Linked DNA regions of Xenopus tropicalis. The protein of the gene in region 1 interacts with the protein of each later gene in a pairwise test. Links are inferred from orthologs where the notes say so. Each region holds a gene or a part of one and is shown in the gene's direction. Other genes may lie near its edges.

Evidence for each region.
Region 2: the proteins of numbl (region 1) and spsb3 interact in binary tests that used the Homo sapiens proteins (3 or more experiments, as listed by UniProt). The two-hybrid records come from large-scale screens. The link is inferred for Xenopus tropicalis from reciprocal best matches to the Homo sapiens genes NUMBL and SPSB3.

What each region holds. Positions count from the first base shown.
Region 1 is NC_030684.2:78,385,936-78,390,338, reverse strand, and holds the start of numbl (numb-like protein), read left to right. Parts: upstream 1-1,573; 5' UTR 1,574-1,989; intron 1,990-4,403. UniProt on the Homo sapiens protein: Plays a role in the process of neurogenesis. Required throughout embryonic neurogenesis to maintain neural progenitor cells, also called radial glial cells (RGCs), by allowing their daughter cells to choose progenitor over neuronal cell fate.
Region 2 is NC_030685.2:21,435,185-21,439,432, forward strand, and holds the start of spsb3 (SPRY domain-containing SOCS box protein 3), read left to right. Parts: upstream 1-1,335; 5' UTR 1,336-1,358; coding exon 1,359-1,487; intron 1,488-2,259; coding exon 2,260-2,434; intron 2,435-2,524; coding exon 2,525-2,712; intron 2,713-3,381; coding exon 3,382-3,484; intron 3,485-4,074; coding exon 4,075-4,200; intron 4,201-4,248.

The sequences.
Region 1 (4,403 bases):
GTTCTAAAAACCTACACCATTTGGCACTATCTGTATCAAACTGCTGGACCCAGGGTTCCTTGTTCTCTTGTGGGTCATAGGAGACTGAATGTCACACTGGATACATAAGCTTTATTAGTATGTGGTTAGATAAAGCAGATACACTAAAGGTGGAATAAGCGTTGTTGCTATAGGCTCAGGTTTACAGCAGCTGAGTGTTCAGAATAATCTGAATAATAGTGGTCTGGTCAACCTAGTGCCCAAATTAGTCCTCTTTGTTAACAACAAACACTGCACGCTGCTTTTTATGTCATACCTGTTTGGTGATCGATTTTATTAACCCTCCAACAGCAGGTCATTTTTTTTGCCTATAAACACATATCATTTTCAGTTTCAATTACAACATTTACAAATAACTATTAAAATAACTGAAAATGATCAGTAAGTTATTTTAGAAAGATACTTAGAATTGCACTCTAATTTGTTTCTTTGTCTGCAGTTCCCCTCTAATCCAAGTTTCAGTAAACCGTCTCCACCAACACCACTATAGAAAGGAGTAATGTTATTTAGCATCTTCATTAACCTGGTTCTTGCCAAGAAAACCTCTTTTATAATGGTTCCCTATTTGTCCTGCTCATCATTTCCAGTTATTTACTCCTTCTCACTTTCCAAAGACATCAAAGAATTCCTTGGAACTACAAGTACTACCTTTAATGTTTTGTACCTGTAAGACTGCTGGGTATTGCAGTCCTCTGTGCCAATAACTAGTTTACAGAGGCCCTAGTTAATGCTTCAGCAGAAAGAAAGAGAATCTCCAGCCAATAGCTTGCGTTCTGCCATCAGAGCCAGGGACAGGTAAAGGGACCAGCCAGGAGAGGAGAGAGGTGCTGGGAGTTTTAGGGGCTGCCAGTTTGTGTGCCTGCATGTTCTGTGACCAGTGATGTGGAAACATCTAGCAATTTAGGCGCTCCTCAGTCCATAAAAGCCACACAAAGTCTCTGTCCCTTTTCCTTTTAGAGCACACTTCAGTGAGCTGGCAGGAAAATGAAAGGCTACAGAACTTCACTTAAAGTTGTCCATTAACTGGCAAAACACGGGTTAAAAGCAACTCAGAATTCATAAGGAACCCTGCGTCTCCTTTTACTGTAGATTTCTCCTGATCAGGATGGCTCATAGGCTGCATCCCAGGATCACACTGGCTGCTGGGATCCTGCACACACTCCCTCCAGGGAACAGTAGGAGGCAACTCCCAGCAGGCTGAACACTGCAATGTTTCCCCTTGCAGATTAATAGCAGTTTCTCTGGCAGGTCACAGAATAAGCTGGAACACAAACTGGCAGCCCCTGAGTCTCCCAGCACACCTCTCCTCTCCTGGCTGGTTCCTCTTCCTGTCTCTGGCTCTGCTAGCTGGACTCAGACTGTCCCTCTGATGATTGGCTGGAGAGTCCCTTTCTTCCAGCAGAGTGAAACAGTAACTAGTTCCTCTGTAAACTGTAATGGATGGCACAGAGGACTACAGTACCCAGCAGTCTTACAGGTACTAAGCATTAAGGGTGCTACACTTAGATTAACTGAATTTCCTGTCCCTGTAATGGAACTATATTTAGGGACGAAAACATTAAATCAGAACAATTTGTAACAGAAGGAAAGAATTTTGGAGCTGAGCAAGCGGGTGAGGAACAGGAGAATAGGAGGGGTTAGAAGAAAGGAATTTGCATTTCATAAGAGCTTTGACCAATGAAATTGTACTGGGCGTGGTTATGGTGATTGGAGCTTTTGCAGGGAGCATGCGTCCATGAGCGGGTAACAAAGCAGATTGCCAGTCACATTATTTGCTGGTAGCCAGATCAGGGCACATCTGCTGGAAAGCTTTGAAGCTGGATTGTACTATCTGAGAGCTGAGATCGTTGCAGGCTCTGAGTGACACGCACAATCGCTGGGTTTGCACATACAAAATCGTGGAATTTAAGATCAGATTGAGCTGTGTGAGCCCCTCTTCTGCTGAGAGCCGTAAGTACATGCATTTCCCTGGAAAGGTTCGGCATCCTGTGCTTGGCAGGCTGGGCCAATAGATTGAATGAATTGGGGTGGCATTTCATGTCGATTTTGAGGAAGGAGAATGGATGGGTGGTTGTGGGCAGTGGCTGCAACACAACCGGGGTCCTGGCATCTCACCAGCTGACTGTACTGTCCCACGGGGTCCAACACTGGGTGCCAGGAGATTCCCAGCTGTGCGCTCTGAGACGCATCCCTTTGCTAATCACAGTGCCGGGCATTTCAGTTAATGCTGAACCTGCGATCTTCCTTCCAGCTCCTAGCATGGTATCAGGGGATGCTGGGGGCTGTAGTTTCAAAGGTTGGATGGTCAGGACATTAACCCTTTGCTAGACAGAGACCAGCGCTTCTCTCTCTATGCAGAATTCAGAGAAGCTTCTAAAGTGTCTGGTTCTGGGATTTTATGCCGTTTGCTTGAGCCACGGAATCAATACTTTTCCTTTATGTCTTAGCTGGGCCTATGTACATGCTGACTAACAGCTCTCTCTGCTAAATTCATCTATTGCTGCTGTGTGGCTTTAAACTATCTCACCCATGCAGATACCATCCTAATATGTATGTGTACACCCACACAAATTCCATTCACAGTATACCTCTGCCAGTGTACACACCCACATAGATGTGCCACATTGTGCAAACCCATGTGGATATCTCCTCCATGTACATTTCCATGATTCAACGTCAAAGTGAACTTCACCAATACCTATGACATCTAGTTTGTACCCCTATACTCCACCCATTATATGCACCCACATGGATTTTATCCGAATATGCATCTTCCAGCAAACATACCCACAAACATACCTTTTAATATATACATCTGAAAATGTACTCACCAAAACAATCTCAATTATATACACACATATAAAGTTCACTGAATGCACAGCACTTGATTTTTAAAATGACAGTTTTATTGCAGAGTCATCTCTTAACTAAAATAATTCATACAGGCAACGTTAATTCAGCCCTTCCTCAAGCCAATATATATATATATATTAGTTTTTCCCACATATGCATTTTACTTTATACTCATACACAGATATCATCCATAGATTCTCACAAATGTACATGTACACTTCACAGATTTACTCTACATGTGGATTTCCTAATGCACACATGCAATCTGCATATCCATCTGTCTGTAACCAACCAGCCAAATTACTTTCACATATACATCCCCTAATTAAAACACCTGTAAGATTTCATTTGGTGTCATGCACTGTACATATTCAGGTGAATCTGATTCAAATATACACCTAGTGCAAACAGCTCACAATTAACTTTTTTTTAGCATTAGGATGTACCATATAATATAGGTATATATACAGCCAGATTTCTTTGCATACTCATCCCCAGTGTACATTAATTTTGTGTACATACACAGCTACTTCACTTTTCAAACACGCATGCAAAGTGTGCACTACCAGACTCTCTGCTTCCACCTGGTCTGTTTATATACACAGCTGGGTTACTTGCACATATATGTGTAAGAAAGTTTATATTGATATTTGTAACACCATGTCACTACATTAAATAGATGATTATCTAATTGTTACACTCAAAGAAATGCAGTGATATGTTATGATTGCTTTCTTATATTATGCCTTCAAGGGTAGGTCTGGCAAGTTTTGGCTTAGCTGGCAAGGAAAATTAATTGGCCCTTAAGCCAGTGGCACTAGCCCAGACCATGGCCAACCCATTAAGGATCATTTTTCAAACCCATACAGTATAATAGTTTTGCGACTCAAACATTAATGTTTCAGCAAATGTCTCCCTTTTTCAGCCTTCACTTTTGTGTCTCCTAGTATATACACATAAATGCATTTTAACTGCACATATACATCTCCCAGTTACACACCCAAGCAAACATGAAAATTTAAAGGCCCACATGAAGCCTAACCCTTGGATACGTTTCCAATTGTACACTGGCAGACTTCCTGTAGTGTGTACTAAGTAAAGGAAATGCTTGCTCCTCCCCTGAATTGTATATGAGCTTGGCTTTTAACAATCTGTTTTCTTGGATACTCTCTAAGACAATGCTAATTTAGCAGTTTAAATTACAGTGTTAGATGCACCCAGAGGACAAAAGTTTACCCCATATGTAATGACTGGTGCAATGTTTGCCCAGGTGCAGTAACCAATATCAACTAATATACCTTAACTGTGCCCATATACATAACTGTTATTGTGCCCACTCACTTCAACTAAACTTTACTCAAATACATACCACACCTAGATTTTTCCTTAGATACCATACAGTGTGCGCACTTACCCAGTATTTGGCCATCTAAATAGCTCACAGCATGCCCTCTTATCCAGACTTTACCCATCTGAATACCTCACAATGTGACTGTTCACCCAGGGATTAC
Region 2 (4,248 bases), on another chromosome or scaffold:
GGATTGGGCAGGTACCACTGACAGACCAGCCTGGCAGGGCAGGGGGGGGATTGGGCAGGTACCACAGACAGACCAGCCTGGCTGGGCAGGGGGGGGGGGATTGGGCAGGTACCACAGACAGACCAGCCTGGCTGGGCAGGGGGGGGGGTCGGGCAGGTACCACTGACAGACCAGCCTGGCAGGGCAGGGGGGGGGGTTGGGCAGGTACCACAGACAGACCAGCCTGGCAGGGCAGGGGGGGGGATTGGGCAAGTACCACAGACAGACCAGCCTGGCAAGGCAGGGGGGGGGGGATTGGGCAGGTACCACAGACAGAGGCCTGCCTGGCAGGGAGGGGGGGATTGGGCAGGACCCACAGACAGAGGCCAGCCTGGCAGGGAGGGGGGGGGGGATTGGGCAGGTACCACAGACAGACCAGCCTGGCAGGCAGGGAGGGAGGGGGGGGATTGGGTAGGTACAACAGACAGAGGCCAGCTTGGCAGGGCAGGGGGGGGGAAGGATTGGGCAAGTACCACAGACAGACCAGCCTGGCAGGGCAGGGGGGAGGGATTGGGCAGGTACCACAGACAGAGGCCAGCCTGGCAGGGAGGGGGGGATTGGGCAGGTACCACAGACAGAGGCCAGCCTGGCAGGGAGGGGGGGTTGGGCAGGTACCACAGACAGAGGCCAGCCTGACAGGGCAGGGGGGAAGGGATTGGGCAGGTACCACAAAGGCCAGCCTGGCAGGGAGGGGGGAAGGGATTGGGCAGGTACCACAAAGGCCAGCCTGGCAGGGAGGGGGGGGGGGTTGGGCAGGTACCACAGACAGACCAGCCTGACAGGGCAGGGGGGAGGGATTGGGCAGGTACCACAGACAGAGGCCAGCCTGGCAGGGAGGGGGGGATTGGGCAGGTACCACAGACAGAGGCCAGCCTGGCAGGGAGGGGGGGTTGGGCAGGTACCACAGACAGAGGCCAGCCTGACAGGGCAGGGGGGAAGGGATTGGGCAGGTACCACAAAGGCCAGCCTGGCAGGGAGGGGGGGGGGATTGGGCAGGTACCACAGACAGAGGCCAGCCTGATTGTGACTGATGGCCAAATACAGATTTGCAGATATAATAAACTCACTCACAAAACCCTCATTTATTTCTGTTGGAATTGGCCAGAAACTCACAGGTCAGGCCACTGACACTAAATGAATGAGGGGTGATTCTTTGTGTTCTGTCACCCACCTGCCCACCAGGTACTGTAAGTTGCTTGGACAACAAAATGACTTGAATTCCCCCCCTCCTATGTGCCTTTGCTTTATTGAGAAATATATTGGTTTTCTCTGATCCCAAGGCTTTGTGTTCCCTGCAGGTGCTCCCCAGATAACACAGGATGGCACGTCGTCCACGTAACAGCCGTGCCTGGCGTTTCGTTCTTAGTGGTGTGCGCAGGGATCAGGATGCCCGCTCTCCAACCTTACCAGCAGAGGAGGAAGCATGGGGTTATGACTCTGATGGTCAGGTAAGTGCAAGGAATCTTGGAATTCAATAGATAGTGAATACTATGCCCCCGATGGTAAATTATAAGGATATTATAAGTCACCAAGGAGTTCCATAGTGAGAAAAAGGCACAGGCTGTTATGCAGGTTACATAAGGGCAAGTGTAAATTGCTGTTGGGCCCAACAAGGGAGAGTTACTAGGGGGCCATGGTACAGGTGTGGGATCTGTTATCCAGAAATTATCTGAATTACAGGAAGGCCATCTCCCATAGACTCCATTATAAACAAATAATACTAATTTTTACAAATATTTTTCTTTTTCTGTATAATAATAAAATAGTGCCTTGTACAAATAGATATAAGATATAATTAATCTTTATTGGTGGCAAAACAATCCTATTGAATTTATTTAATGTTAGACTTAAGTTCTGGAGATCAGAAGGGACAGAGAGACCCCTTATCTGGAATACCCCAGGTCCCAATCATTCTGGATAATGGGTCCCATAGCTGTATATGGTTTGACCCTTACCTTGTCGGCAACAAGAAAGCAGATCAGCCATGAGATTGGACTTTTATTGATACAAAAACCATTTGATACTATTCATCTTCCTGTCTGTTCCTTAAACCGCAGCCTGGTTGCTATGGAAAGTTGGACCTTAGCAACTAGATAGCAGAGTAAATTCCAAAATGCAGAACTGCCAAGCAATTAGTAAAATAATTGGAAAAGACTAAAATATAAAGCCTGCAACATGTTTTAGACTGATGATTGTAAAAGGCAAACTCTCTCTTTGCAGCACAGTAACAGTGACTCTGACACAGACCTGCTTCACTTGCCCCCCTCCATCCCTAGCGCTGTGCCTGTGACGGGAGAGTCGTACTGCGATTGCGACAGTCAGAATGATCCCTATTGCTCCAGCCTGCACACTTTCCATCAGATCAAGAGCTGCCAGTGTGGAGAGGAAGACAACTGTAAGAACAAAAGCAAACTGAAATCTCTTCTCCTATACATCCCCTTTGTACATCCCCTAGCCAACATCTCATTTCTTTCTTTACTTATAGACTTCGACTGGGTGTGGGATGATTGCAGTAAATCCACGGCGACCGTACTGAGTTGTGACAACCGGAAGGTCAGTTTCCACATGGAGTACAGCTGCGGCACCGCGGCCATACGCGGCAACAGAATGCTCACCGAAGGGCAGCACTTCTGGGAGATCAAGATGACATCCCCAGTCTATGGCACAGATATGGTATGTACCAAAAGGCTTTCCTCTTGCACAGAGTCAAGGTTATGTGATTGTGTTCCCAAACAACACTGGGTGCTTAGCATTGCCTTTACATGAAAAAGTACAAAGAAAAAAAATTAACCCATTTTGCATAAAAAACAAGGACAAGAACAACTTTAGCCATCTGTTTTACTGCAAGTAGTCTAACACCTATATGTAATAAAAGGCACTATGTTTGCCCAGTAGTAGTAACCTATATCAGCTAATAAGATGTTGGCTTCTAAACAGGTGCTATGGGTTACTGCTCCTGTGCAAACTTTTATTACATAACCCCTTAAGTTTTTTCCTGGTCCAGTGGTCTCAGTTGAAGAAAACCGTGGAAAAAAAATAGTGAAATAGACTTTCCTTTTCATTTAAAAGTATGAAAGTATCCATAAATATATAGTGCAAATACAACACACACACACGTTTTCTGCTTTGACAATCCTCCTAGGAAAACTATGTCATAATACTTAGCTTTCCTGTATGAGAAATCCATTCCCGTTTCAGCAAAATCAATCTGTACGGACCTGGCTTTGCGCATGGGGGCAGTATTATGCTGAAACAGAAAAGAGCCTTCCCCAAACTTTTGCCACAATGAAGGGAGCATGGAATTATCAAGAGTGTCATTGCTGTTGTGCTTTTTACTTTTAGATGGTTGGCATTGGGACTTCCGATGTGAACCTAGATAAATATCGTCACACGTTTTGCAGCCTTTTGGGCAAGGATGCAGAGAGCTGGGGACTCTCTTACACAGGTAAATTGTTGCAATAAAAAAAGGTACAATTTCTGCATAAGTTTGGAAATTTCAAATGTGCCTTTGTAGCAGGCCTCATTCACCAGTTAGATGCAAAAGGCACTGTTTCATTCTAAAGGTGGCCATACACAGTAGGATTCGCTCATTTGGCAAGGTCACCAAACAAGCAACTGTTCCCCCTAAACCAATGAGCTGATGCTGTGGCCCCGATCTGACTTAAAAATCAAACCTACTTGATCGATACCTGGCCAATTTTCAGCCAGATATTGGTCAGGTAGGGCCGTCGGGGGTCCCCATACAGGGGCAGATAAGCTGCCGACTCAGTGTAAAGGACGCGAATCAGCAGCTGAAATCTACCTGTGTATGGCCACCTTAAGTCACTAGAACTCTCACTAATGATCCAGTTGCACTTTTGTTAGTCTTCCAGATTGCAAACCCAGTACCCCTTTGTGTACAGTAGATCAAACTGCGCAGTACTTAGGGCCAGGATAAACTGGACATTAAGGGCCAATTAAGTCTGATTAGAATATCTTGAGATCTGTTACACTGCAACAATTCAATAAAAATCAATTAATTTTACTTTCTATTAGGCCTTCTCCAGCACAAGGGAGACAAAAGCAACTTCTCCTCACGCTTTGGCCAAGGCTCCATTATTGGAGTGCACCTGGACACATGGCATGGAGTGTTAACTTTCTATAAAAACAGGAAATGCATCGGTGAGAATCATCTGCTTTTTTTCCATCTGTTTGTGCCAGGCTCTAATT